Struthio camelus: one gene and its partners. The protein of the gene in region 1 interacts with the protein of each later gene in a biochemical or structural test. Links are inferred from orthologs where the notes say so. Each region holds a gene or a part of one and is shown in the gene's direction. Other genes may lie near its edges.

Region 1 (6,823 bases):
GAATGCTGGATGGGGGGAAAGGGAGGGGGAAACACTGGGAAAAACCCTGTAAGTTAGCTTTGTCATCAACTGACCAGTGATTTGGGCCTTGTTTTGTTAACTACCTGTGAAAGACTGAATAATGCCCTAATCGCCTTTTTTCCCTCCCGTACCTCCAACAGGAGGATGTTTTTAACTTCCCAACAGCATAAGATTACAGAGAGATTCTCATTTGTACTGAGGTCACTTTACACTGTCAAAGCAGTGGCCAACATTTAAATGAAAATCAGTCACAAGGGATTTTAGCTGTATGTCACCAGTTAAATCAAGCCCAGGTCGGTAGTGACTACGAGTTATTAGTATCTGATGCTCTTTATCAGTCTTAGGATGGTTCCCTGTGGATCAGAGCTCTCATATCTAAGTAATTTAAGTTTTTGTCACGTTCATCACCATGGTTCCTGAGTGACACAGAAGTTAAAATATGTCTTTATACAACATCTTCCATGTCTTACGTCTCTCTCTCTGTCTTCACCCCCACACAGAGGCTTGAGGTCTTTTTAAATAATGCTGGGAAAATCGTTTTACACACATAATATTTGCATTTTCTTTGGAGGATGAGAGGGTTCAGGGTCATTCCGAGGCTCTCGGAAAGTGAATGCCATAACCCGACAGCAGGGACCACGAAAGCGCTGTCTGGACTGCCCCTACACAAACAGCGTGACGATTGCAGTGATGATGGTTTTAGGAGAGGTAGCTTTAGTTCTAAATCAGCACAAAAAAAATGGAAAACCCTCCCACCCTCAGGAAAGAGTGACGCTCTAGGGCACCTACGTATCATTCCTGTTCTTTGCCTATATCTGATCACGCTGTTTCCAGGACTCATAGGGTCTTTCATAGCATGACATTTACTTTTCAAGAGAACTATTTACAGACCACAAAGTTAACAGTTAAAGTAGATATTTGTAACAGTACAGAGAATCTCTAGACCCTAACTGTACAATGAACTCATCCAAGTGACTCCTGAACTTGATATCATGATGGAGATAGATAGTCCAAACTGTCGCACATGTAAACTGACCTATTTTATAGCTTGGCTGGTTCCTCATACAGCTTTCAAACTGAAGATACTGCACTTCTGTTTGGACAGCTCTTCTTAGCAGTGGTTTTATTTCTGCTTGAGGCATGGAGACATTTTTTTCACCTGCTTTTTGTTATCTGCAATCATTTTACAGTAAGTATCACCTCTCCCCACAACATAACCCTTTATTCTGATCATGGAACTAATCATGTGCTTAAAACATATTTACATTCCTTGCAGAACCAAGGCTGTAATGTCACCTTGTCACCGTGTGAGGGAAAGACCCAGCATAAAGTGTAGGTAATAGCTGTGTATTTATAAAGGCTGAAAAGCAGTTGCTACCATTTCTATCTGGTCTGTCTAACTCAACAACTGTATTGCTACCTGGAACTACATACAACTAGGTTCTGTCACAAGAGGAACTGTTGGCAAAGCATGCCATAGCCTTTTGACCGCTTATTTGGGTTTAATTGGATTAGACATATATTTGAACACAGCACTCAAAGCAGTTGACAGTCTTTCCACAATTTCCTGGTCTGCTGGTTGGTTTCCTTTTTGATCTGACACATCCTGGTGAAGGTGGAAAATAATCTAGATATACACCAGTTTTTAATTAAATTTTGCTATGACAGGTTGTGTTTAAGCTAGCTTCTCTATAATCATTTGTTTTGCCTTTGCTGATGACATTTATTTATGTATGTAATCAGAACTGTAAGCATAATTTCATTTTTAGAGTTAAGAGAAGAACCTTTAAAATCATATTTTACTTACACAGTTTCAGAAAATTTAAACATTTATTCACCTCTACTGCTGTCTGCAATTTCTCAGAAAAATAATGTGGGTTTCCAAAGTGAAAAAAAAAGCACATTATGGAAAGGAAAGAGTATTATATACAAGGAAAAATAAAGCCATAACAAGTAATTTTAACTATCCCACATCGATACACAAAAACCAAGCCATATGATTTAATGTGTGATAAATAGAAGATGGATTTTTTTTTTTTCATTAGATTACGTTGGTCATCCAGGATAGCTTTCACTCCACCAAACATGCTGGGGCTGCATCTGAAACCCTGAAGCCTGCTGGGTAGGTCCATGCCAAAGGAGAGTCCTTAGGCTGCAGCTAGGCTAAGCCACTGCTCAGTTTAAACTGATAACTCTTTCCTTTTGACTTCTGCCGAAGCTTTGGGGGATGCTAATAAGTCGTAATCAGGAGGTTGTACAATATTTGTAACCAGCTACAGAAGACTGCAATTGTTTGGTCATGGTGATGGAAGCTGGTTTGCAGCAAGGAGTGACAGAAGGTGGGATGCAAGAAAAGAGCCTCTGGCAGTCCGACTTGCAGCTGGACTCGGGCAGTGGGGAGAAGCAAGACGGGGATCGCACACCCCGAAGGCAGAGAGAGAGACATGAAGCAGCACGGTCGGCAGTAGAAATGTCAACAGAAGTCTAGAGAGAGCAGCGGCAGAGCTGCGAGAAACGTTGAGAGAAGAAAGAGGGCAGAGCACAACCAGTGAGACCCTGACAGGAACTTGATCGGCACGTAACACCTTCTGGTTAAAGAAGAACACAAAATTAACAGCGACTTTTAAGAAAAGCATGAGTCAGGGGTAATGAGCTGATTTCACATTGGGGTCTTTCGACAGGGTAGGATGGGCATGAACATGGACACACTAGTGTGATGAGATATATGGAGATCTGTATGTGATTAATGCATTTTCAAAGGAACAGGAGAGACTATCTAAAACCATGCCAATAATAGTGAAAAATTAAGTAGCAAGTACAATTTTTTGCCTTAAAAAAACATGGAATGTAAGTATAGTGTTTACAGAATTGCAGAAAAAAATTCAGAAGCAAAGACTCTTGATGTTTTTGGTGAACCTAAAGAACATGGCAGGAAGAGGGAGCCTTGCAGGAAAACAGGAAAAATGGATATTGTTGCAAGCGACAATCATGGCATGATACAAACTATAACAAATTAAATCTTCACCTCCTGCTCAAAACCTCGAGTTTATTTACATTCATAGGGGAAACAAGTAATGGGAAAATATAATTGCATGTAAAAACCATATGCTAATTAGAGGTTGCAAAACTAAGCCCTGAAAAGTCAGAAAGCGTTAGAAATAAACTTGCCCTCCCTCCAGTAACCCAGCTCTCTGGCAGGATGTTAACCTTGCCCTGCGTGACATCAGGGGCTTGCGGCAGAGCCAAGGACAGAGCAGGGCCTGTTGGGCCTCAGATCAGCACCTTAAACGCAAGAGAAACCCCCTCTCCGCCCGCAGCTGACTGCTGCGCGGGGGGCAGCGTTGTCACAGGGAGCTGAAGAAAACAGAGCCCGGCTGCAAGGGCCGCAGGGAGCGCAGGCCTCGGCCCCAGGCTTCCGCCCCGCGTTTCCTCCGGGCCGTCCGTCAGCCAGCAGCGAGGCCGCCGGCCCGGCCCGGCGCTGACGGCCCTCGGCTCGCCCCGACAGCCCGGGCGCCGCCGAGCCTGGGCCTCAACGGGGCGCCCCGCGGACCCGGCCCGGCCCAGCCGGCCCCGTCCGAGGGCGGCCGGGTGCCATTTCCCGGGCCGCCGCCGCCACCTGACGCCTCTAATGGCGCCGGGCGGCCGCGCGGCTCCCGCAGAGCCGGCACGCCCACCACGTGACCCCGCCCCTCCCCCCGCGGCTGCGGCGGCGGCCGTTACCGCAGTGCCTGGGCCCCGCCCCTCCTCCTGCCCCGCCCCCCCGGGGCGCCTCCTGGCCCCGCCCCACCCCCGCGCGCGCGCGAGCTCCCCCTCCCTCCTCCCCTCCCCTCCCCTCCCCCCGGGCGCTGTGGGTGCGCGCGCGCGCCCGGCAGCGTCTCCTCACAGCGGCGGCGGCGCTGACGGGGGCTCGGAGCCGGCGGCCGGTGCTCCGGAGCGCGGCGGAGCCGGCGACGCCTCTTTTACTTCCCTCCACCCCCCCCTCCCCGCATCTCTTTCCTCGCCCCCCTCTTTCCTCCTCACCCCGCCTTCCTTCCCCCCGCCCCCCCCCCCCCCCCCCGCACGCAGTCACCGCGGTTCCCGGCACGGACAACATGGCGGCGGTGTCGGGGGCCGGGGCTGCGGGTGGCGCTGCCAACGCCGGGGGCCCGGAGATGGTGCGGGGCCAAGTGTTCGACGTGGGGCCGCGCTACACCAACCTCTCCTACATCGGCGAGGGGGCCTACGGCATGGTGTGGTGAGTGCCGGCCGCCGCGCCCCGCCGGGCCAGCGCCCTTGCCCTGCACAGCTCCCTCCCTGCCTGCCTCCCTCCCTGCCTGCCTGCCTTCCTCCCTCCGCCCCGCCGCCCTGCCCGGCCGCAGCCTCCCCGGGGGCTCGGCCGCGGGCTGCGTCCCGCCCTTGCGGGGGGCAGCGGCCCGTGCCTGGCCCTCGGGGGAGGGGAAGCTAGGCCTCCAGCATCCTTGCCTCTTTCCTCATCCCCGCTTTCCCCTTCGCGCTGCCGAGGTTGTCCCTCCGGCATCGCCCGTCCCCTCCCCGGCCGCCAACCCTCGGCTGCCGTCGCCTCTTCCCGCCCCCCCCCCCGCCAAAATTCCTGCACCGTGGGGTGCAGCTACGCGTCTCGTTTCCTTTCTGTCGTGTGCTCGTTATTTTTAATTTTTTTTTCCTCCTGCTTCTCAAGTTGCTTTTTCCCTTTCTTTTTTCTCTCCTTACAGTTATATTATAGACACTGAAAAAGGGGAGAAGGTCATAACATCATGCTAACAGCTCTGTTTTTTCCTTTGTGCCTGTGCTGCATGTTCCTAGGGTCATGGTTGATAAACAGAAAAAGTGAATCTGTGTATACGAATTGCTGTCCCTATCTGCCTTTTCTTTGGATGTGTTTGTTGACTGTTGCACAGCCTGCCAGATTATTGTCTAAATTAACATATATGAGAGATGAAAGTTCTCTTCAGCTCTTCCAGTTCTTGATTATTTTATATCATGAAGACTGGTGGTAAGCCTCACTAGAAAGCAGTAGTACACATTTGCTTTGGTTAGTATCACTCTTAAAAACCTAACCAGTGAACTATAAAATGCCTAAAATGTAAGCTACCTGGATTTAGAGTGTGAGATGGGTTTTCTTTTAGCAGCCTGCATGTGGTGGGCTGAGTCAAGATGATGCTCTGAGGTGGTATACCTAGTGACTGGGTTATAAAACTGACGTACTTTGTGACCTTAGTTACAATTCTTATTCTGTTTTTTACCATTAGCAAAACAGGATAAAGTGACTTAATTTGAATCCCTTGTTTCAAAAATAAAACTATTTTTTGTTATTTTATCAACTTTTTTCCAATGCTGCTTCTGTTTCATGTTCAGATTTGACCAGAAGTACTAAATGAAGTTTACAGGTTATGACTTGGTGAAAGCTATATTAGCGATAATGTCTCTCTCTGATGTTTAATCTTTTATAGTATAAACTAGTACACTTATCGGTGAAGGCTCTTCACAACATCCAAGTGTATGTTACAGATTTTACAGCTGTGATGGATTGTGCTGGCTTATTAAAATGAAGTCATCTTGTATTTCAGAATGGAAGCTTTCATTTAGGCCTGAATTTAGCTGGGAGATATGCCTGTATTTAAGTTTTGAATTGTGGCCTTCACTTTTTTAGCTGGGGGAAGAACCTTCAAAATGAAAATCAAAAATCCTGTTTATGGTGTAAAAATACCCCTGTTATCATTTTAGTGTTATAGATCACAGCAATATATCCACTCTAAAACTGACATTAATGTAGCTTATGGTACAAACCATATTTTACTGTGGTGCAAATCATCTGTGCTGGGACAACTAAGCCAGTGCACATAATCTCATTATTGACTGCGCTGGTTTACGCATGCAGTCTGATTTGGAATAGTACTTCCAAGATGTGTGTATAGTCCCGCTCATATCAATGGGATGTTAAAAATGGTAACACAGATGTTGTGTTAAAGCTAAAATGTTTCACCAATGATCAAAGATTACAAGAAGCAGTATGTTGGCAGTTGATGCCCTTTTTCGGCATCACTAGGTTGGTGAGCAGATATAGGGAAAATATGGCCCCTTCCCCCCCATCCAATGGTGTGTCATTAAGTTCTATTACTTAATATTTTATTAAGTTCTATCTCCAAGACTGGCTATGTAATGTTATTTTTTATTTAATAGCTCATTCTAGTGTTGTGGATTTTCTTATATTTTTTCGCTTTTTTTTTCTTTCTTTTTTTTTTTTTCTCTAGTATGATTGCTGTACACAGTTATTAACAAAAATAGAGACATACACATTTGGCTCCTGAGTTTTTTCCCTCTAAAGTTATTCATGTGAAATACTAGATTTGATATGTTGAGCTGTTAATTAATCATTGCTCTTCTGCCTTGGGTGTGAAATGACAGGGAACAAAGTCTCAGTTTGTATTGTATACTTGGTAAGTATTGGATTGCACATGTTCTAGCTAAATGCCATAGCAAATGTAATGTTTTGTAGTGCACAGCAGATGAGCTGCTACGATTAAATAAGATTACTTATTAATCAATGGAGGTATAGGTTATGTAGATTAATACTAAATGTTTCATGTCTTGCTTTGATTGTTAATGCAGTGAGGATCTGCAGAAGCCTCTCCCTTGTGAGGTGATTAGAGGGCAAGCTATGAGAGTAAAGATGGAGATATTCCCTGCAGCTGCAAAATCCATTTAAATCTGTACACTTTAATGAAGGAAAACAAAGCAAGCTCTGATGTTTTTGGTTTTTTAGACCCCCAGCTAATGCATGCAACTTCAGAGGATCTAGTTATTT
Region 2 (7,383 bases), on another chromosome or scaffold:
TGATTCACTTCACAATGCTGAAAATAAAGACCAGCTTCAAAGCTGTGATCCACAATGATATTTTTCTGGGTTTGGGGTTATTCAGGCAAAGTTTGTTATCTGGGCCTGTCCCTAGTTCATAAAAACACACTTTGCTAAAGGGTTAGGGGGGAAAAAAAAAAAAAGAATCATGGTGATGTGAGACCTTTAACTGAGAACAATCCAATACTGCCAGTTCTTGTGCAACAAATCTATGTATTATATAAAGTATAATATGGACATATAAGTGTAATGCTTGTTATTAAAAGTGCAATTTAATGTACATGGTCACAAAAAATGTTTACTTTTTTAATTGTTACAGAATTGTTTGGATCAGTACCTTGTTATCATTGTGTGAACGATGCCTTGTAAAATAAATGGAAATGCAAACAAAATGGGTATAAGGTGCTTATTTTCATAGGCCGCTTGCTTAAGAAACAGTTTGACTGTGTCTGTAGTAATAAATAACTACTGTACCAGGTCTTCAGACATAGTTTACTCAAGTTGGTTATTTTCAAGCAGCACTACTGTACTAAAACACAGCGATTTAGCAGCCTAGTCATCCAAAACGTGCGAGTGTTACAAAGCTAATTTCAAACTGTTGGTATAATGTCCTTGTTCACAAGAAGCAACCTGTTCCACAAGAATCTGACAGACATTATGTGGGAGAGCTAATAGGTCACGTGGGTCCTCTTTTCCAAATGTTAGTCTGAAGTTTACAGCACAGAGAACATACTGATCAATATGCTTCCCCTGAAGGCTGCTGATCTAAAAGATCGGGAAATACGAGCTGTTCTTAAGGACCCGATGCTTCAGTGGAGGTACACAAGAGAAACAGGCAAGCGAGCAATGACACGTCTAGAGGAAGAGAAGAATCAGGGAGCAGAAGGTACCAGCAAGAAACAGAAAACATATTTATAACAGAAGCATGGCTAGGCAAGAACAGGACAGAATAAAAGTTCAGTATTCATTAAAGTTAGCAATTAGAAGAATTCAGATACTTTATAAAACCAGTTTTCCATGTGAACAATAGATAAGAGTTGTTACAGGGATTTTTTTTTTCCTATTTAGACGAACAGCCACTGCTGCCTGCATAACTGGAAAAACACACAGCACTTGAGAAGAAGATATGAAGCCATAAGGGTAGAAAAGCTGAAGATAAATATTTTTAACCAATTAGTTTACCAGAAAATATATTGCTTTTGATTAACTTCCACATCACCGTCCAAAGACTGTTTGCCACCAGTTTCCATCAGTTCCTACAGACAAAAGGAACGGCTACTGCAGGCTAGCTAAGGAGGCCAAACATCCTTTCGTAGCCCTTCCAGATGCTCTCTTTTCTGTCCCTAGAGCCAATGACCATTGAAAAACAATATACTGCACAGTGTTTTGTCATCCAGAGAGACTGGATCCGGGTCTTTCGGTTGAATTTGACTATTCCCACCAATCCGCCTCAAGGTCCTTTTTCCCCTTCCTGGCTCAGGAACTGTTCCGATTCTTCTCTCCTGAGAGGAAGACCTGTCACTTGGCAACTTGTAAAAACGTGCACAGAAAACTAAGTTTGTCAGGCTTTCTCTTCGTTCCGACAAGGGGGAACGCAGCATCTGGATGCTACTGCAGCTTCATGCAGAGCAGTGTGGAATGTGTTTTTACATGAGACAAGAGATACACTCTTCCGCTTGTAAGCTGCCACTCAATGGGAGTGCCATGGGCACTGAAAGGCTCGTGACTTAAGGATACAAAATAAGCACTGGTTTTCAAAGAGCCTAGCAAGCGACTGAATTACAGGCTCACTTGCACATGCATTTATGTATTGGTGAAACATGTCATGTTTTCTCCTCTATCCAGAAATTAAATTATAAAGCAATATCAATTTAAATTCTAAAGCTATGAGAATGTCCTAATGCAAGACCACAACTGAGAGGGGAAAAACTCGGAGATTAGTGGTTCAGGAAACATCACAGAAAAGCTGCTTCTTGTCTTAGTGGCTGCTCAGCAGAAAGATCATAAGGAAACAATTCCTGAATATGCAACTGCTCTCAACAAATTAAATAACCATGCCACGGAAGTAAATTCCAATTGCCCATACTGTAATTTCCAGATAAAAATCCACTAGCCCAACTTCAAATGCTATTGCTAAAGATCTACAGGATGACGCTCAGTTCTGTGAAAATTAAACAAAACTACAGAGTTAGTCGTGGAGATTTTTCCTGACAATTTCTCAGCTGCAGCTCTTGAAGCACTGGACCAGAGGGGTATGAGCAACATTTCAGTATATGCTATTAACATTGCATTGTGACATACAGCCTTGCAAGTCCTCAACTTCAGATTTTCTATGAATCTCTGATCTAATATCCTCTTACCTACCCCCACCAATCCCCTGCAAAAAAAAAAAAAAAAAAACATTCACAGATTATTTATGTTTACCTTAGAAGCGGAGAGGAAAAAAAACCCCTAAGCCCATAAATTGGAGAGTGAGCTGGCATTTCTCAGCTCAGTAAATTAAATGTTAAAACCGGCAACCTCTCTTACAGAGAAATCTACTTTTTCAGCACTGAGTGATTGTATACTCCTTTGTGTTCCCATTTTTATGAGGACATTTGGAGGCAAAAGTTGACTCTTCCACTTACCTACTTATAGAAAGATTTCCATCAGCTTCTTTTTTTCTGGGAAATTTTAATGCCCGACTGGGACCTGGGAATACAAAAGCCTTTTTTTTTTTTTTAATTATTAATTGATTTACTAAAGGTGGTGAGAGGCACCATGAAATACTTTCTCCCTGGACCAACTGTAACTGAGGTTGTAATACTCAGGAAGGTCATTTCACCTCTTTTCTAAAGGCACAATGATTGACTCCATATTGCAATTGAAGTGGTTGCTAACTTGTTGATGCCTCTTAATGAGAATATAATCACTAACCCTCACCACAAAATTTCTGGCTTCCAACTACTACTTCCTGGCGGTAGGGGGTTCTGTATCACTGATAATCTTTGACTCTGTAAACTCAGCATGAATGTAAGTAGCTTGCTATAGATGAGTCTAAAAATCACAAAAGGATTCATAGTTGGTAATTTCCTTTTTGAAAACCCTTACCATAAAGCTGCATAGTATTTCCAGAAGAAAGACTTAACTATTAACAAAAAACTCAACCATCTAAAAAAAAAAAAAAAAAGCTATTCAAAGCATTGCAGTTCCAGACTCAGTTTATGTCAGCTCCTTACTCCTAAACACACGCACAAGACAACCTCTGCCATTTACAACACGCAAGCTTTCCAACCTTTGGTGCACTGTAAATTGATGAGGTTCACTTATTACAAAGGCTGCATACGTTCTAGGTTACTTTCTTTTCAGAGTACCTCATTGCCAAACATTGGCCTGAGTCGGGTAAGGCAAAGAGAGAGAGACGAGCTGCTGCTGTTGGCATCATGCTGGCATTGAGGTGACCTGCCTGTTGACGCTTTTATGTTTTATGCAAACAGCACTCTGGGGCTCGGTTTAACTGGCCTGATCCTTTTATGTGCCCACAGCTAACATAGCGCAGCTATAAAAGAGCGCACCGTTGCTCAAAAAAAAAGACAAACCAAAGAACAGTGTTTAATACAAAAGCTCACCAACGCCAATTAGAGCCCAGCAAGCACTTCAGGCAGGAGCTTGAAAGCTTTACTGGCACTTAAAGAGATTCTGGCACACCAGCACATGTGGCTGTTTTCCGTACATGAAAGACTTCCTTACCTAGCGCAGGGTTACAAAAAAGATTGCAATATTCAGAAAAAGCATATTTAGGCAGGCTGTTTACGGTCCTGTTTCCCAATTACACTAAACACAGACGGAAGGGAGGAATCCTGATGTCAAGACAGAGACTCGGCGAGGCCCTGCCCAGCCGGGCACACAACGCGTACGGGCAGCCCGCCGAAGGCGCACGGAGAAGCGCGGCCCGCCGGTTCAGCCCGCCACGAACTCTGCCCACCGGCCGCGGCCTCCAGCCTCCTCAGAGACCGCCCCGCCTCTCAGATCGCTGCCTCCCCGGCCCCCAGCCACCGCCAGGGTGGCTCTCCCAGCGCCGCAGCGCCAGGCGGCAGCGCCAGGCGGCAGCAGCAGCGGCAGGCGGAGCCCTGACCGCCCGCTTCCTGCCGTCAGGGCGGCGCGCCCTCAGCCGGTCGCTAACGGCCGCGTAACGGCCGCGCCAGCCCCGCCCCTCCCCCCACGCAACGGGGCGCACGCGCAGCCCCGCCCCGCCGCCTGACGCGTCGGCGTGTCACCATAGCAACGCCCGTCCGCCAGTGACAGGGGCCGACAGCGGCGCGCCCCTCTCCTTCCGCAGGCGGAAGGGGCGGGGTTGGCGAGGCCGCCTCGGTGGGGGGGGGGGGAGGGCGCGTGACGCCGTTTCCGGCGCGTGAGCGCGGGGCGGGGGGAGGGGACGCGGCGGCGCGAGGCCGGGAAGGTTCCAGAGGGGCCGGTGGGAGCCGGAGCCGCCGCCGCCGCCGCGGGGGCAGCAGCGCCGGGCACGCGCCGCGCCATGGCCGCCGCGCACGAGGAGGTGAGGGGCGGCGGGAGCGGGCGTCGCGCTGAGGGGCCGCGAGCGGCGTTGGGCGGCCCCGGGCCCGGGCCGGGGCTCAGCACAACTGTGCGGCTCCTTATTTACTTATTTATTTATTTAATTATTTAATTTTTTGGCGCTGCCCCTCTTTCCCGAAGCCTTGGGGGTGGGGGGGGGGGATGCGCGGAACCTCTTGTTTTTCTTTAGGTGTCTGCCAGGTGGGTTCCGGGCGCCTCTCTTTTGCGGTTGAGCTGCGATTGCGCCAACGTGCAATTAATTCGAGCGCTCTCAAGTTAAAGAAACGCGAGAAGTTTCAAACATGGAGGGAGAAAAAAAAAAAACACGTTTCTGTGCCGGTCTGGTTATTTATTGTAATATTCCTCTCTCCTGAGCAAAGCTAGTGTTTCAGAAATCCCTGAGGATCAGATGTTTATCACGTTGAGTATGTCTGCCCCTTCCTTGAATCGTACAATTCTACAATAAATCGGTCACTTAAAAAGGAAGCGCAACCTCTTGTCGTCTCCCCTCATTGAGAGTTTCAGTGCTTTTGATGCTATTGTTCTACATTTGTTAGATCTTAGAATAGAGAATCTTATTTTGAGGGGGAAAGTAGGTTAATGAGGTACAGTGAGATGTTGCTTTTGATTTATGTGGCTGCAAGGGCTCAGTGGCTGGTAATCTGGGGCATAAGAGACGTTTACCCCCATTTGACCTTTTTCTGAGTCTTCCGTCTGAATATTTGCTCAGTGCTATAGGTCTGAGATCGGGCAGTACGTTTTTAGCAAAATCCAAAACCTGTTGGTGTTCCAAACGTTAAACTTTTATTAATTTCCCCTTTTTTTTAACTGAACGAAGCTTGAAGATTGAAATTGAGCAGTTAAAACCTTAGTGGCCGTGGAGTAAGGGACAGATGGTTTCACGCTGAGGAGGGTATAAAGGGAAGTGTAACTTGGTTTGCTGAATCTGTGTCTGAAACTAATAGGAGTGAAAGAGCCCAGTGGTGTGAACCCTGAGTAGAAAGAGGGGTATCTAATATGCGTGCACGATCTTTTATTCTTAAATCAGTTACAGAAAGATTTGGAAGAGGTTAAAGAATTGCTTACGAAAACCACGAGGAAGCGACTTCGTGATGTCCTGATGACTGAAAAACACAAGCTAGAGATAGAACTCAAGAATCAGCCTCCACCAAAGCTGAAAGCAGATGCAGGAGAAGAAGAAAAGTCATCGCTGGGAGGGTATACAGTGAAAATAAACAACTATGGTAGGATTGCTCTTCTACACAAACGTTAGAGCTCAGGCTTCTGTTTTGAATAGAATGCAGGGTGGTATTAAGTGTGAGTCTTAGTTGCCATTTAGCGTTACAGAGAAACATTCTCAGATGTTTATACCACACCACAGACCCCCCCCAAAAAGCTACTTACTTACAGGCTTACTGCTCTGTCCCAGCCACAGTTCTGTTTGTCTGATAGCTTTTCTTTACTGGAGGAACACGTTAATGATCCCCGATGCACCTACTAGTATTTTTCTATTGCCTAGTGCTTAGCAAGAACGAAAGACTGAGCTTTGGCTTCTCTGCTCGCCATGTAGGTAAAAGGAGAAGGAATTGCTTAAGGTACTTGTCACGTGGAAAGTATAAGAAAAAGTGGGTCAAGGAAACGGCAGGAAAACCAGGCATCTACTTCTGACTTTTCTGAGGAAAGCTAGAACTTTATCTTTCTCACTTGCAGGTTGGGATCAGTCAGATAAGTTTATTAAGATTTACATCTCTCTAAGTGGAGTCCAGAAGCTCCCAGCTGAGAATGTGCAGGTGAATTTCACAGAGAGGTGAGTTCATATTTTTGCCCCATGCCAAGAAGGAGAGCGTGGGTGTAGAGCATTATCTGAAATGCAGGAATGTGTTGTGTTGAATTTTGCTCTGGGTTGCTGTGTCGTGTTTTTTTTATTTTTTTAACTTTAATTTTATTAAAAGTATCAGCTTATTAATTAATTGCTTATTAAAGTATTAACTTTTAATAGTACTTGAGTACATACACTTACATATAGCTCTCCTTAGTGGGTGTCAGAGTATTTTAATTTTACAAATGCTCCTTATGCCTCATCATGCTTGATAGCATATGTTACGTTAGACCTATTTTTTGATGGTGGTAGAACTGAAATGTGGATTAAATGAACCTCCCTCCTTTCCAGGGTCATAGGAGCTCAGTCAGGTAGATGTTAGAATGCTAAAGATCTTGATTTGTTGTGAACTCTGCATAAGTCCTTTTAAGTGCTCAGTATTAAATCCAATAGAAGATTTGAAAGCCTGTTGGCTTGCTTTCCCAAGAAACGTGCCTGCTTAATGGTTTTCAGACGTTGTGTTTGATGACAGGGCTGAATAGTCTTACACTGCTTGGAATTTTTGTTTGTGCCTTTCCTCCCCTCACCTTCTGGCTCTAGGTCATTTGATCTGCTAGTGAAGAATCTGAATGGGAAGAACTACACCATGACCTTCAACAACCTTCTGAAACCCATCTCTGTGGAAGGCAGCTCTAGAAAGGTCAGTCAGCATACCTCTTCTCTTGTAGGTACTTTGTAAAGAATCTGAATATCTCTGTATTCGTAGCTTGACTCCAGTTCAACAGATTGAGCATTAACCTGCAGTCCCTCCCTTCTGTCTGTAAAGTCTCTTCAGTGTAAACGTGACTCTCATTAATCTGTAGTTGTAATAATTGTAGAATTATTTTCTGGAATCCTTGGGCTTCTGTTTCAAAAGATCGCGGCCAGATACTGAAGCGTTGTTGATAGCTCTCGAACAGGATTTCAGAAATTGGTGACAATTAAGCAGAAAA
Region 3 (7,681 bases), on another chromosome or scaffold:
CTCTGCGGTGCCCTTGACGGTGGTGCAGATAAGAAGCTGTTTGAGGTGAAGCGCAAGGACCAGATGAACGCGCTGAAGAACCTCATCGAGCTCAACGACGTGAACCAGCAGTACAAAATCATCGACATCATGCTCAAGGGACTCTTCAAGGTGAGGCGCGGGGCAGGCTCTCCTCCGGGCTCGGCATGCTCTGGCGCGAGCTGCCCACTCCCTCCCTTCGCCCCTGAGCTGGGTGCTGCACCCAGGCCGGGACGCTGGGGAGGGCGAGCAGGAGAAGCAACGGCAGCAGGGAGCCTCTGTGGGGCTGAAGAGACGAGCTGAGGGGCAGAGTAGGCTGCTGCAGCAGTAGGGGGTCCCCTGAAGGCTGCCCTTGGACAGAGGGGAGCAGGGCCAGGTTGGGGCAAGGATGGGCAAGGGGGGAGGGCAGGCGGGATGGGCAGTAACCAAGAGCCTTTCAGGTGCTGGAGGACTCCCGGGCCGTGCTAATAGCTGCAGATGTGCCGCCAGATGGGCCTTTTCCTCAGGACGAGAAGCTAAAAGATGGTAGGTCATCTCTGGTCTTCTGCCCCCGTTCCTTTTTCCATTGCTATGTTGCATCTCTGTCTTTTCGTGTGGGATCAGTGCCAGGGTAGCTATGAAATCCCTGGGGCTGCCTACAGAGATCCCTACGGGGATCTTCCACTGGTCCCTGTGGTGTTTTCTATCGGGGAGCCATTACGGTCTCGCTGACCAGTTCATACTGGGGATCCTGCCCATTTACCCCCTGCCTCTCCATCTTTGCCACTAGGATTTAGATGCTCCCAGGATGAGGTAGGGGCAAATGACTCTGAATGAATTTGAGTTTCACTGGGGAGGCCTTTGTTCAGCAGTCTCCCAAAGGATATGGGGAGAGGAGGCCTCATCACAACAGAGATTTAAACGTAGATCCTGCAAAGCCCCTGGAGAACATGCTGCCCAGCTAGGACAGGGCAAAGGCACTGCCTGTTGCAGCCGTCTCTAGACTTTCCTGCTCTCGTTTCCCAAGTGGCACCGAGCTGATGTGGTGCTTTGTAGCCTGTGTGAGCTCTCCCGTCCCTGATCTCTGCTGTCGGGATCTGCTCCACATCCAACCTCAGCAGCCAACCTCGACTTCCCCCAGCCAGCCTCAGCTGGAACTGCCCCGTCCCCGCTGCTGAGGGCCAGGAGCCATCATGGGACGTCAGCCCCCGAGGAGGCTGGGCTGGGCGCACGGCGCGTCCGTAACCGCAGGCGGCGGGACGTGGAAGGGGAAGTCTCACCGCGTCCTTTGGAAGCAGCCTCTCCTCCCGTCCCTGTGCTCCGGCCACGCGTGGGGGGCCCTGGCGGTTGGGGAGGGGACCGTGGCTGGCGGGAGCGGGGCAGTGCGTGGGGCCGGCCTGCCGACAGGGCCGGGTGGCTCTCCTCCGCAGCGTACTCCCACGTGGTGGAGAACACGGCCTTCTTCGGGGACGTCGTCCTGCGCTTCCCCAAGATCGTGCACCACTACTTCGACCGCAACTCCAACTGGAACAACCTCATCCGCTGGGGGATTGGTTTCTGCAACCTGACGGGGGTGTTTGAGCAGGGACCCCACTCCCAGGTCCTGGGGCTGGTAAGGCCGAGTCTCGCCCGTCGTATCCCGTCTCCGCTGCCGGGGGGGCAAAGCGTGGGCACGGGCGCGAGGGTAAAGGGAGAGCAAGCAGAGGGAGCGTTCGCCTCTTCCCGTGCCTGCCGGGCTGGAGAGCGTCTCCCCTGCCTGAGGGACATCTTTGGGCTGGAGGGAGAGCGAAGGGGCCCAGAAAGGAGGGAAGGCTCGGGGTGGGGGGGGGGGGAGGCAAGGACGCGGCGGGCGACGAGCGACGCCGCCATCCGCCGCGCGGCCCTTGCTTTGCTCTGCAGATGGCTCAGGAGCTGGGAATCAGCGAGAAATCTCCCGATTACCGCAACCCCTTCAAAACCGACCACTCCGAGGTAAGACGGCAAAGCGGCCGCGGTTCTCCTCCTCCTCCACCACCTCGTGCCGTGGGGAAAGAGGAGGTTTGGGGGGGGAGAGGGAAGGGGAACGGCCGAGCGCGTGGCTGGGAAGGGAAGCGGAGGAGGGAGTCCCGTCTCTGGCCAGGCTGGTGCCAGCTGCTGGCGGGTACAAAACCGTGCCCTCCTCTCTCCGCTCCTGCGGCGGGGGCCGCGGGGCCTCGGGGCTTGCTCCTCCTGGCTGACGCCGTGATTTCCCCCCCCCTCCCCGGCTCAGTTCTTCCCCAGCGCGGACACCTTGCAGAAGGCACTGCGAGAGGAGGAGAAGCGGCGGAAGAAGGAGGAGAAGCGGAAGGAGATCCGCAAGGGCCCGCGCATCTCGCGCTCGCAGTCCGACTTGTAGGGCCGGGCCCCGGCCCCGGCGGCGGGGACCCCCTGGCGGCGTCCCGTCCCCTTCCCCTCCGCCAACTTCCCCTCCAGCCGGGGCGCGGGGGCGTGAAACGGGCCTGCCGCGGCGAGGGGATGGGGGGGCCGGGGAGCTCGCGGCGGGAGCGAAGGGGCCTCGTGGGCAACGCTGCTTCTGTGAGGTTTTTTTCCTCTTTTTTTTTTTTTTTTTTTAAATCGGTGATGTTTCCGCTCCCTGCGCCCCAGCCCGGTTATACCCGATCTCTGCCCGGCCGATGCACCGGATCTCCCCGTCTCCTGGCCGCCCTTTGGCTCAGCCGCCCGCCTGTCGTCCCTGGCGGCTGAAAAAGGCCAAAAGAGCCTTTTTCCCGGCCGGGCCGCGGCCCCCGTTTTCCCTGAGCGGCTAATGGAGGGGTTTCCTGATGGGGACGGCGGGAGGGAAATTGGGAATTAAGCGGCGCTCGCGGGGACGGACGTGGCCTCTCCGCCCTCCTTTCCCTGGCACCGCAACGGGGCTTGGTTGTGGAAGCGGCCAGGGTTGCCGAATTTCCCCTTCCACCCGATTTTTTTTTCCCTCCCCCTCCGTATTTTGGATTGCAGAAGTCTTTTCCAAAAAAAAAAAAAAAAAAATCCCACCATCCAAACGCTACCTACCCCGCTGCTGGGGGGGGGGGGGTCAGGGCCGCCCCTGCTGCGAGGGGCCGGGGGCGGCTCTGGGAGGAGGGAGCTCTTCCCCCCGGCTCCCTCGGTGCGCGTCGGCGGTGCCGGAGGAGCTGGAGCCGGCCGGTCGGCCCCCGCCTGCCCGGGACCGGCGCTTTCCCACGCCGCCCAAGCTGCCTTCGGGCGACTTGACGGGGCCAGTGGTGGGAAACGTCCTTTATTTTTAAATACGGAGACGGGTACGTTCGACGGGGGCGTTGGGAACTTGCGTTGAGATGGGAAGTGTTTTGTTTTTCTTGAATAAATCTGATTTTTTTTTTTTTTTAAAGAAGCCTGCGTGTTGATTGCGTTCCCAGTGGGAGCGCTCCCAAAAAGGGGCGCGTGCCCAAGGGCGTCTCCGGGCCGTAGCTTTGGCTATTTTAGAAGGTGCCTAAGTGAGGAGATACTAAAAGGATGAGGCCAACTCTCCCAGCCGGTTACCTGGGAAATCGGAGCACCTTTTAATAAAACCCCTTCCTCCAAAACTTACTGCTGCTTTCAATCTAATGTTTCTCCCCCTTCATCTGATTTCATGCCAGCTTTGTAACAGGTCCGAGCCGCTCTTCCTCACCATCTCGCAATCTCCTTTAGGCTCCCAGGGAGAGATGTTCAAGGATATTTAGGTGCCTGCAGTTGCACCTAAATACGATTTTTCAAAAGCATCTGAGCAGGTTAGCTGCTAATTTCCTCCATCGCTTTCTCTCCGGGCTCCAGCGGTTGGGTCACGGCGCGGAGAGCCCGCGGAGCGACAGGCGCCGTGAGCGGCTCTGCGCTGCTGCAACACCTCAGCTTGCAAAATCATGTATTTTCCCCCTAGGGTGCCGCATGCCCGCAGCTCCCTCTTGGTCGAGGCTCCCGGTGAACGGGCAGGGGGAGAGGAAAGGCTGCTGGACATGGCAAGGATGCGGGGGTGTGCGGGGCCGGGGGTCCTTCAGCAACCACCCAGTTGGTTATTCCTCCCTGCTGCAATTTTTGCAACCTGGTGTAACTCCAAAGTGGGCCTTGCTTGGAGCAGAGACCTCTGAGGTCCCGTCCTGCTGGACTGTCCCGTGTCCAGCGGCGCGCGGGGGCGGATTTATCCAGCGCTGGTCGCCACCTGCCACCCGGCCCTGCGAGGCGCTTGGGAGGGGGCTGGGGCCACCCTAGTTGTGCGACGCGGCTTCAAGGCACGCGATGGCCGCTCCTCGGGGGTGAGGAGGAGGGAGCCCCGAGGCAGGAAGAAGCCTCCCTCCTTCCCTCCCTCCCTCGCACCGCCGTGCGGGCTGGGCCCTGCGGCGGGCAGCGCCCCCGCCACCCACCGGCGCGGTGCTCGGCGCTGCGCAGCCCGCCCGCGCCGCCGGCCACGCCCCCACCTCATGAATATTCTAATGCAGGGGGAGGGGGAGGCGGGGGCGGGGTCTGCTATGCTAATCGCAGCTGCTGATCGGTGACGCGCCATCACACCACGCGCCGCCGCGCCCGCCGATTGGTCAGGGGCGACCTGGTCTCATTGACAACAAACCGCGGGAGGCGCGCGCGCGCGCGACGCCGCCGCCGCTGCCGCCGCCGCCGTAGCGGCGGCTGGAGCTGCGGGCAGGTGGGGGGCGGGGCCGGCGGGCCGTGGGCGGCCCAAGATGGCGCGGGGTCGGCGGCGCTCGCCGGGAACCCGGGCTTGAGCGGCGGCGGCGGCGGTTCATGCCCTGGTGCGGCCTGCCGGGGCGGGGCGGGCCCGTGCGCGATGGAGAGCGGCGAGCTGGGCGCGGAGAACATGGAGGCGCTGACTGAGCTGGGCGACGAGCTCACGCTGGGTGACATCGACGGTGAGAGGGACGGCGGGGGCCGTTGTGACCGTTGGGGAGCGAGGGGGAGGGGGGGGGAGCTTCCCTGGCCCCCGTGGCGAGGCGGCGAGCCGCGCCCGGCGGGTGGAGAGGCGCGTGGGGCAGCCCCGAGCGGGGGGTGCGAGGGCGCGCGGGGGGAGGAAGAGGTGTCCGTGGGCCTGCCACGGGAGGCAGAGCTGCGTGGGGAGGGGGTGCGGCCTTGCTCGGTCCTCGTGTGACGGCGCGTGGGGCGTAGGGGGAGGCGCTCGGTGCGGGGGAGCGCTGCCCCGGAGCCGCCGTGGGAGGGGGATCCCGAGTGGGGCTGCCCGCGAGGTGTCCGCCCCCCCCCACCCACCCCCGCAGCGCAGAGCGACGCGGGTGGCGCCGTAGTGGCCGCTGCTGGGTGGCTCCGGCTCTCCCCGCGTGGGGAGCGCGTCCCGCGGGTGGCATCGCCGCCGCTGCTCCCTGGCTGCGGCTGGAAACCCGCCGCGGGGGGATCGCCCTCGGTGGTGTGGTCCGTCGGGGCCCGGCGAGCTGATGGCCAGTCCTGTTGGGCAAGGACTTTTTACCAAGACTGAGTCACTCGGGGTGGTACTGGGATGTTACGGCAATAACCGCGGTCGTAAAAATAAAAAATAAATAAAAAAAAAAAAAGCGATGTTAGAGGGTAGCAGGGGTGGAAGGCGCAAGGCTGGCGGCCCAGCTGGAGGGCACGCACACCTGTCGGAGTTGGACAGCTGCTGCGCGCTTCTTCGAACTCGGAGCTTTTGGCTGTTAAAATGATCAAGGATTTGAGGGGGGGGGGGAACAAAAAGTTAATTGCCTTTCCATTTCCTTTTTCCATCCCGAGTCTATCCAGCAAACGGTGCTGTGTTGTCCGTTTTGGGTTTTTTTTTTTTTTCCACTGGTTGGTTTGAAGTCTGTTATAAAGAATGGATGGAATTGTGCTGCCGCTAGCTCCTTTCAGAGGAGGTTGTTCCACGTCTTTATTCTAAAAATGAAACGGATGTAACTGTTAAATTTTCCTTTTGTTCCTTATGTCATCATAAATTGCTTTAACGTTTACGCCAGACGTCAGATAAATGAGAAGAAATGTTTTTTCCGCTGAAGTACAAAGCTAGAATGAATTATATTATTATTATTTTTTTTTTTCTTGAACAGCTCCTGGAAACCTGTAAAAACTATAGTTGGACTAATTATCTGATCTAGACTGAAAATTAAAACAGGTCCTCAGCAGAAATAAGAAAATTCACTGCTCTGACTTGCTTTGTTGAATATCTTTTTTGACTTTGCTGAACAGTAATCCTAAACAAAGGTCTACTTTGAGGGGGGTGTGTGTGTGTATCTAAAGCGTCCTTGTTTAATAGGTGGAAGACAGAACTGAACTGGTGCTTTTAAGTTTGATTGCAATTGATTTGCAGGGCAATTGGTAGCCATTGGAGGCAGTTTCTTTTCTCCGTAATATGTAAAACAAGCATCTGTCTTAGGAAAATGCAAGGGGCTTGATTATCACTGATAAAGTTCATGATGCGAATTAAAGATGATGTTTATTGTTGTCTGCAAAATAATGTCTTCTATAGGTCTGCATGGAAGCTGAGGCAAGTTCTAATGAGCTTTGAGCCAGGTCTTCTGAGCTGTTGGTGTTTTCTCAGTGAAATGTGGTTCAGGAATGTGGAACTCGGTGAGAAAGGAGAAGGTCTTTTACCTTACTCAGAATGGAGTGGATTTTCCTGGAGAGATGATATAATAGAGTCCTGGTTTTTTTATTTTGATGTGAACTCATCTCAGGATTTAAAATTCTGCAAGGGTTTTGGTTTGTGTGTGGGGGGTATTTTTGTTTTTTTTTACTTCTTGTTTGCTGCCTAAATCTCAGCAGTCCTCTCAATTTTGGGTCTGAATGATCCTCACAGCTTGCTGTACAGCTTTTTATTTTAAGTCTGGACTTGGAAGAAATTAAAGGGTGAATGACCCTGATTAGTGAATGGCCTTGACTGCTCTAGGAAGTTAATTCTTTGTAAAGTCAGGTTCCCAGATCGGGTGTGAAATCAGTCCAGGGCTTCAAGTGGGTGAACACAGCTTTTGGTCAGAAGTTCCAATAACTGAACAATAACCTAACTCTGCATGGTGTTCAAATGTAACTTTCTTCCCGAACTTCGTAGTACTGCAGTCTGACTGCTGTGTTGGCTACAAAAACCGCACTAGTGGAAAAAGACCTTTGAGAACCAGATGATCCGTGATGTAATCTTTGCATTTCCTTACCCTAGGGAGTTTAATTTGGTCATGGTTAAAAAGTACGTTTTTGTTTTTTAGATTTTGGTTTTTTACATTCATGTCAAAGTATCTTTTCAACTCTGTCTGTAGCTTAATCTGCTACTCTTTGAGTTTCTCTGAAAAGCAGCCTATGCTCACAAACACCTAGCAACCTTCTAGGAGGGTGGTGCGTGCAATACGTAGTAGCTGTACTGAAGCTGTAGCTTAAGCACTGTACTTTTCTATAAGGTACTTGGACACTGATCTGGAAGAAGTAGAAGTCATAGGTGGACTGACTTTGACGATATCTTGTGGATATTTTCTAGCTCTGTGTTTGCTCGGTATTGTTTTCTGCAGCAATATCTTGTTCCTCTGTAGTGACTGAGACCTTCAGCACAGAGGGTGCAGCTAATCTGAAAATGATGGGTTTATCACCAAATTGATGCCTGAGGGCTATCCTCCAAAAGCACACAAACATCCTAATAGTTTATTTATGTTTGCCCTGTTCTTTGTGTTGGCAAAGGAGTTCTCAGAGAGAGAGAGAGAGAGAGATTGGGTTCTTG
Region 4 (7,957 bases), on another chromosome or scaffold:
ACCCTAATGCTAGCATCTTTAGGCTATTTCAGAGTTGCCTGAAGTTGGACTCACTTGAGACAGAAGCTCATGATTAATATTATTTCCATGCAAAACCAAAGCTACTCTTATGCTGGGAGGCTTGAGTCTAGAGTTAAATTGTTCTGTGCAATTTACTTTAAATCTCAAGCATAACTGCTTCATTTAGAGATGTATTGTGTAGTTATTAGTAACAAGTAACCCTCATTCCATATTTAAATGTATATAAATGCGCACACACACAAACGTTTTTTCACTTCTATTTTAGGAGAAAGGTTTATCATATTAAATTACTCTGACATAAAATAAATGAATATACAATAGGTATAGTTCAAGAGATGTATTCCTAGACTTGAGTAAAAGGATAGTCTGAAATTTTAATTTATATCTTTTCTGTCAGTATTGTAACTGCAGGACCTGAGTTTATGAATCCTGATGTCCCTGGTAGAACACTGCAGGAAGATATCTTTACTGCGCTCTGGTATGGAGAGCATAGAAGAGAGAAGAAATGGAAATTAGAGGAAATGCAACAAAAATATTCATAATCTAGCTGGTGAATTGCAATCTAGGCTACATCAATTGGAGCTGCCACTTGCTGTTCCAGCTAGCTGCTATGAATGGACCTGGAGAGAGAGCCAAAAATGCTTGGACAGTCTGCTAACAGATTTGTTGATTCTGTCCTTGTGAAGGGTTGTTTAACATCAATTTTAAAACACAGATTTCTTTTATCAGTAATACAGAAACACTCTCAGGGTGACCAACTTTGCAAGAGAGTGTAAGAGCTACTTGAGCAAATATATGTGAGCTAATGATCTTAATCTTCCTTTACAGTCAATGGAGAAAAATAGGCATTTTGGGGCATGATTCATCCCGAGGTAGACGTCTAAAACAGGTCAGATGAAGTTTGCTCTAGAAGTGCCTGTTTCTCTCTTTTGACTACAAAGGGAGGTCAGCATGACTACCTCAGAGGAAGTTACCTACATTGTAAATGCCTCAAGTTAGGTGAGGTGAATCCCACACCTGTATTTTGAACACTTTGACCTGTGCCTACATGTCCCACTTTCAGGCAAAACAATGGAACAGCTAATGCACCACAGCAGAAAGCAAAGCTAACATTTCTGGCACATTTGCACAATGAGGCTTTAAATGAAAACAGTGCTAAAAGACCTGTCCTTAGCCACGGGCAAGAAGATAAACAGCCATCCTTATTTTTTCAAAGCTATTTAAAAACATTTCACCAGTAAATACAAGTTGCTGAAACAAACTACTATCACCCTGGTAGGAATAAGCAGCTCCATGTCACATTTATTCCTCTCCTCCTTCATGTGGAAGGCACAGAGAAGACCATAACCAGCATTTGAATTGCCAGCTTTGTTTCCCCTCCCTATCTGCAGCTTTGAGAACTCCTGGAGATACTGTAGAATACCACAGCTTTCGGGCACTGTAGTGGAAAGCAGGTGACCCAGAGGTATATAACTTCACAGCAAAAGAAAATAATGTAACCTCGCTAGCAATTACATGTATGAATTAAACTGACTGAAAGAAGTGGAGTAATCAGTATAGCTAAATGCATTTGTTAGTACTCGTGCTGTCCTCATTACCAGTTTGGGCTGCCTCAGCCCCTTACAGGTCTCAGTCAATACCTTAGCTGTTCATTCTGGGGATGAACAGTCAACTGCTTTATATCTTTAGCAGGCAGCTTTTGGTCAGGCACCTTAACTCATTTGATTCTTTCCAACCTGCCTCACCAACAGCAGCAAATTGTTGCCCGTCAAGCTACAGTTAACATCATTAGAAAAAAACTGACATAAAAATTATAACATGGTCTTGCCAAAATCTGGTAACAGTCTTGAAGTTTCAGATAAACATACATAGCCATAAATGAGTCTGCTGAGAGAATAAAATATCCTTGCATCCTCTCTCTCTTTTGCTGTCAAAGTTTGTATTGTGTTTCGGCTAAGTCAGCGTCATTCTTTTCCATGCCTATATTAGAGATTCTGTCAAAAATACACTGGAGAGTCTCAGACCACTTTACAAGTGCTGTAACCCTATAATGACAATACTCATTAAGGAATATGATGCATTTACATTGGTACAATAATGATTTTGCCCACAGGCAATCTCTTAGGACACAAGGTACTCCTCGACACTTCTCCTGCAGCTGTTACCTGTTTGCATTGTATTAAAAGAACCCCTCTTCCCATCCTAGCAATATTGTATAGCTCTAGACCTAGTCCTTCGATTTATGCATATCACCTTCTCTATATGCCCTCCTCCTCCAGTCCGCTTTCTCTTATTCCTACCCAGTGCTTCAGTTTTCTGCTGAAACTCATCAATGGCAAACAGATGTGTGCATCTGTTTCATTTATCTTAGGCAAAAGTGTGTTTCTCTCTTCTCTAGATATTTTTTTCTGTTGGCTAATACGTATATCACTGCACTATTGAAATGAAGACCCCTTTTCATTTGCCTTTCATTGTTTCGCTTTGTCTTAAAGCATTTTGTCAACTGAAGTCTAGTGGAAAATGATTCCCAGCCATGGAAGACAGTCTTTCTAGCATGGCAGGTGAGAACACCACTAAGAGCTCTAACATTTGGAACGTTCTCTCTTAATTGTAACTGCTATCAAATGAGACTTCTCAGCAGCATACTCAACCTGCCACATCAGAAGAGAAGAAGATACTGTGGAAAAAAATGTTAAAAGAAAATAACTCCCATATCATTAACCTCACTGATAAATATTGGTAAAGCCAGCACTCAGCTGAAGAGTCAGTCTAGACTTAGAGAGTAAGCCACACACTAGTGATCTCCACTCTGCTAATACCATGTTCTATATTTAGAAAAAAAATCACTGAAGCTAGAGAATTCAAGCTGATGCAACATGTGTTAGCTCACTTTCTGTGTAGCAGCTTCCCACTCCACAGTTATGCTTTCATTTTGCATTGATGAGACCTTTCTTTACCCCCTACCTTTTAAAGATGATGCACTGATTCAAAACCCAACAAATGATTTAGAGTCTTAGCTTCTCATTGAATTCAGCTAGAGTTAGGAGCCTAAATCTTATCTTGGATATGGGCTCAAAACCCCATCTAAAAGCATTTCCCCAGTGGAAAACAATTTTCTGACAGAGTGGTGGTAAGTTATCTGGTCATTGTGCCTTTGGGCACCACAAGTGAGGTGAGTAGATATTGCTACAGTGCTCAATCATACAAAACCACAGCTGCCTCATCTGTAACCACATGGGGACAAATTAATTCCATTAGCTTCAGCAGAGTTATCCTGTATTTGACCCTATGTCCTTGCCTAGAAAACAGAAGGGTGATGATTTCTGACCAACAACAAAACATTAGAGGACTGTTAGTAAATTTTTCTTTTGTCTTTTCCTAGGAGTTAGCCTAGGAGTTGGCTAAATTGGAATTTGTGCTGCACAGCTTACTCAGAGAAGTAAGTATAGGTCATTACTTATGTATACCTCTGAGGCACAGGCACATAGGAACTGGAGTTGTGGGGACATGAATAAGATGTACAGAATGGATAGACTTCACTTTTAAGTTTTCATTTCTACTAATCAGATCTAGCAGGATTAAACTGGATCAGGATGTGCTGCAATTTGTATACATCCATAGTAAATTACCATCTCAGTACACAAAGCAGAAGAGATCCTGTCACCTAGCAGGGCATCCAAGGCACGATACCTGCAAAAGATACTACTGAGGTGATAGGGCTCACGTACCACTTCTTCCTCAACAATACCCTTGATCAGCCGAATTCTCAATTTGGGGCAGAGCTCAAGACTGAGCACTGTTTTCCAACCCAAGCTTTTTGTGGCTTATGTTGTTGTCAAGCCAATGACCTAGCTGCCTGTACATAGTGAACAGCAGTGTGGGGGCTGGCAAAGGAAGATTATTTGCATATGCTCAACCACACATGCAATTGCAACTAGAAATTAGGCCCTACGCAGCTCTTCGCACCATTATAATGAAGAAAAATTCTGCGGCAAGGGTCATTTAAAGCCACTTAAAAGAGAGCAAGCTCTGTTACTCTCTTTTATTCTTTTCTACTTAAGATCACTTTAGTTGCACAACCGATTGTAGGCATATATGGTTTGTCATATCCAGCTTTAGTCTGGAGACAGCTCACTTGCAGGGTGACACATCTGCTACTTCCTTTCAAAGTTAGCCTCTGGTAACTCTTTTGATCAATTAAACACAACTCTAGAAAATAATCTGGCTGCAGGGCTGCTTTAAGTTTGGAATCTTTATTTGGGTCACTGATGTCCACATAATCAAATTTGTAAGTGGATACGTGCGGCATCAATCCGGTTTGAATCGCTGCCTAGAGTTCAGCAGATCTCAAGTAAATGTCATTTTATTTTCCTATCAGCCGTGATTTCCATCACACAGGCTTTCTGCTTCTTTTAGGTGGGGTTCCACAACGCATTGAAAGGGAAGCTCGCTTTCACTGCATACATAAAAATAGGCACTATCACAGTCCTCCCAGACACGTCAAATCTTTTGAGACAAACCTCATAAAGGCTTTAATATCTGGGAGAGGCAACACCACCGCTCCGCTGCAGCAGAGAGCCCTGCCGGCTGCTTCGCTCGGGCGCTGAGGGAGAGGCCGCTCCCCTCGCCTTCGCCTCCTGCCCCTGTGGGGAGCTGGGAGGAACTGGAGGTCTCTCCCTTCGCCTTTCAGCTCCGCATACTTCAGCTCTCCACGCTCCTTCCGCAACCCCAACTCCCGAGGCGGAAGAGGGGGGGGGATGTTGACCCCACTCCAGCCACGGCCGCTTCCCCCTGCCCGGGCTGCCCCTCGCCTCACGCCGCGCCGAGGAGGCACGTGAGGCCAACCGCCCGCTCAACCGCCCTCCCCGCCTCCCGCCCACCCGCCCGGCGCCGCGCATGCGCAGCCCGTTCCCAGGCATGCTCACTGGCAGAGGGGGGAGCGGGACGCGCTGGTGTGGCGCTGCTCGGCTCGGCTCGGCTCGGCTCGGCTCGGCTCGGCTCGCACCATGCGGCGGGCGGCCGCGTGCCTCCGCGCGCTGTGCCTCCTGCTCCACCTCCGCGCCGCAGGTGAGCAGGGGGCGGCTGTGGCCCCGGCGCGGCGCGGCAGCCCGCCTGCCCAGCGGCCGGAGCACGCGCCGGCGAGGAGCCGCTGGCGCCCGGCGGGCTGCGGCGCACCTGTTGTGGCGGGGCGGGGGCGGCGCGGCGGGGTCGCGGCGGGCGACCGTTGCCCGGAGCGCGCGCGCGGGGGTTTAACGGCTGCCGGCGCCCGGCGGCCCGCGGAGGGAGCGCGCGGGGCGCCGGAGCTTTTCAGCACCGCGGGCAGCAGCCGGGGCCCGGCGGCGGCGGCCGGTACCCGCGCGAGTCGCGTGGGTTTAGCCGGGGGGGGGTGCGCGGTGGAAGTGAAAATCGTACGCGTTTGTCCTTCTCTGTAAATTTTTTTTTCCTCCTCCCCCCCCTCTTTTTTTTTTGGAGTGGAGGGGCGTGATGCTACTTATATTTGATCTTGGAAGCAGGTTTTTTTAGGTAGGGAAAATTTCAGCTGCGACAGTAGGCGTCTTGGCTGCAGCCGCGGAGCGGTGATAATAAATCCTGTCTCTGCTTTGCGAGCAAAACGTGTGCCTCATTCAGAAAGGCGGCGAGCGCCTTAGTGCCTCCCTGAAGTTCAGCTGCCAGTTTCGTTCTCAGAACCGTCGCTTATATTTCTGGCTTAAAACCTCGGGCTTCTCTTAAATCGTGAGAAGCTGCTTATTTTTGAGAGTCTCCCTTTCCATTTCCCCTGCAGAGCTAAACATTTGTAGTCTGAAATTGAAACAAAAATCTCGGTTGGCAATGTAATTAAATGAAGTTCACTAGAAAAACTGGAGTATTTCTTTGTTTTATGGCTTACTGCAGCACACCTATTTCTGAAGTAGAAAATGGCTGTTGCACCCTGCCTCTAACTTCGCTGAAGTTTAATTAAAAAAAGAAAATGCACCCCAAGATAATCACTCTTTTGCTCCCACAAATCTCCCACAATAGGAGAGATTTTTTAGATGCTGCTTGTTTGTGTTGTCTTACGCAGAATCATTAAAAGTAATATTTATACTTAATATCTCTTATGACTTGTAAGTAATGCATGTATGTATATACCCATGAATAAATAATCTGTGGATATCAGGTTATGAAAATAGTTATTTATATGGATACCTCAGGTAAGGGAGCCTGACATTCTTTTTTTGCTATAGTCAAAAGAAATGGTTTGCCTTGGTTAGTGGTATTTTATTGCTCTGGAAAATTAGGCTACGCTTGCTATGATCTCGGGAGCTCTTTGCTTCATGTTCATAGGTAGGAGACTCATGCTATTATGCCTTATATTCGTGTGTGTGAGAGATTATCGACTAAAAGATAAGGAGCGTTTGGTGATGCATTTTAATAAAAGCCTTTAGCTGCTTTTAGATTGTTCCTTTACAACATGCATTAAAATAATCATCTGTACAAAATTAGTATACAGCTTACATGCCTTCTGATCTCAATTTATCCTCTATTAATAGTGGACGTCACATCAGTGTAGATGTGCTTCATCTTTCCATCCTACTAATGGAACTGGTTTTATATCCACCCAAGAAACCATTTGCTTTCCCTACCATTTTATTATTATTAAGTGAATGGAAATGCTTACAAACAAAATTTAGCCTTTATTATGAAAATGTCTGTAATCATGGGTAAAAATAGAGAAAATTATCGCGCAGAAGTTTGTATGCTGTTACTTTGTTTCCCATGCGATCTTTGAAAATAATTATTTCAGAGAAAGCAACAGGAAGGGTGGACAGGAGCAGAGTTTAGCCTTTATACATTGGGCATAGCTCCCCTTATAGCAAGAGTTGTGCTGCTTCTTGGCAGGGCTGCGTACAACTTGCCATTGTTGGGAGTGACTGAAGATGTGACGATGAAATAACATAGCAAACTTAAACTTTTAGGATTTCTCTGTTTCATCTGATGCAGGTAGAGAATCTGGTCTTTCAAAGAGTATCACTGTGGGAATCTTTTATGTATAGCCTAAACTTATAAATTATTGATGGTAATTTTGCAACTCTGACTCCTGTGGAATCATAAAATGCATTCCATTTGCCACTAGTGGTAGGTCACAAATTGCATCCCAGCTGTCAATTTGTTTTTCACTGTGGTGGAAACTACTTGGCTTTTCATAAGTATTTTTGTTTTGAGGCTGAAAACACATAGAAGGGAAGGTATTTTCATGTAAGGGAACGCTAAAGAAACCATCAGCAGATACTAACAACGTCTCGCTTAATATCAATTGATGATGATAAATTTAAAAAAAAAAAAAAAAAGTAGGTCTGTGTTAACTTGAACTAATACCGCAGCAAAAAGACTTCATTCTCTAATGTGTTTAAGTAATGCTTCGTAATGGAAAGATAATGCTCATCATATTGGAAATCTGGTTTGCTATGAAAAGACAACGATATTACAGTTGTGTTACAGTAGCCAAACATATGTTTGCAAAGAAAAGGAAATATTCTGGTCAAAAACAGAGATTGGGAATTTTCATGCGCTTAACAGACTAAAACTGTTCCTTTTTGATTTAGACTTTGATTCCAACAAAGTGTTATGGCTGTATAACAGAAAATTAAATCCAGTTGTCTTGTTGGAACACCTGTATAACTCTTGCTGAAATCAAAGGCACTTGTATGTGCATAGCTGAAAACAGATTTAGGCCTGTCTGCTGAGCGCAGCAGGTGAAGTAATCAACCTATATAGAGCTTGCTGTTGGATGAAGACCTAAATATGTAGTGACTGATTACAGGTCAGTGTGAGCCTTTGACCTCTGATATGCATTGCATGAGACAGTGCCAGACAGTGCAGGTTATACTCTTTTTTTAGTAGGTATGATCTAATACATGTTCTTGCAATGAAAAATTAACGTCTCCCAAGAGGACTG

The links. The genes of interacting proteins can lie anywhere in the genome.
Region 2: of the proteins of MAPK1 (region 1) and CACYBP, one has a biochemical effect on the other in vitro, tested with the Homo sapiens proteins (2 studies listed by BioGRID). The link is inferred for Struthio camelus from reciprocal best matches to the Homo sapiens genes MAPK1 and CACYBP.
Region 3: of the proteins of MAPK1 (region 1) and SREBF2, one has a biochemical effect on the other in vitro, tested with the Homo sapiens proteins (2 studies listed by BioGRID). The link is inferred for Struthio camelus from reciprocal best matches to the Homo sapiens genes MAPK1 and SREBF2.
Region 4: the proteins of MAPK1 (region 1) and PTPRR form a complex in vitro, tested with the Homo sapiens proteins (2 studies listed by BioGRID, with this or other methods). The link is inferred for Struthio camelus from reciprocal best matches to the Homo sapiens genes MAPK1 and PTPRR.

What each region holds. Positions count from the first base shown.
Region 1 is NC_090958.1:10,423,957-10,430,779, forward strand, and holds the start of MAPK1 (mitogen-activated protein kinase 1), read left to right. Parts: upstream 1-3,807; 5' UTR 3,808-4,112; coding exon 4,113-4,255; intron 4,256-6,823. UniProt on the Homo sapiens protein: Serine/threonine kinase which acts as an essential component of the MAP kinase signal transduction pathway. MAPK1/ERK2 and MAPK3/ERK1 are the 2 MAPKs which play an important role in the MAPK/ERK cascade.
Region 2 is NC_090949.1:5,137,821-5,145,203, forward strand, and holds the start of CACYBP (calcyclin-binding protein), read left to right. Parts: upstream 1-4,365; 5' UTR 4,366-4,534; coding exon 4,535-4,555; intron 4,556-5,620; coding exon 5,621-5,816; intron 5,817-6,282; coding exon 6,283-6,379; intron 6,380-6,991; coding exon 6,992-7,091; intron 7,092-7,383. UniProt on the Homo sapiens protein: May be involved in calcium-dependent ubiquitination and subsequent proteasomal degradation of target proteins. Probably serves as a molecular bridge in ubiquitin E3 complexes. Participates in the ubiquitin-mediated degradation of beta-catenin (CTNNB1).
Region 3 is NC_090942.1:56,592,886-56,600,566, reverse strand, and holds the start of SREBF2 (sterol regulatory element-binding protein 2), read left to right. Parts: upstream 1-4,663; 5' UTR 4,664-4,789; coding exon 4,790-4,871; intron 4,872-7,681. Other genes in the region: CCDC134 (coiled-coil domain-containing protein 134), read left to right, coding at 29-150, 459-543, 1,428-1,609, 1,897-1,968, 2,246-2,371.
Region 4 is NC_090942.1:41,388,871-41,396,827, reverse strand, and holds the start of PTPRR (receptor-type tyrosine-protein phosphatase R), read left to right. Parts: upstream 1-4,939; 5' UTR 4,940-5,027; coding exon 5,028-5,088; intron 5,089-7,957. UniProt on the Homo sapiens protein: Sequesters mitogen-activated protein kinases (MAPKs) such as MAPK1, MAPK3 and MAPK14 in the cytoplasm in an inactive form.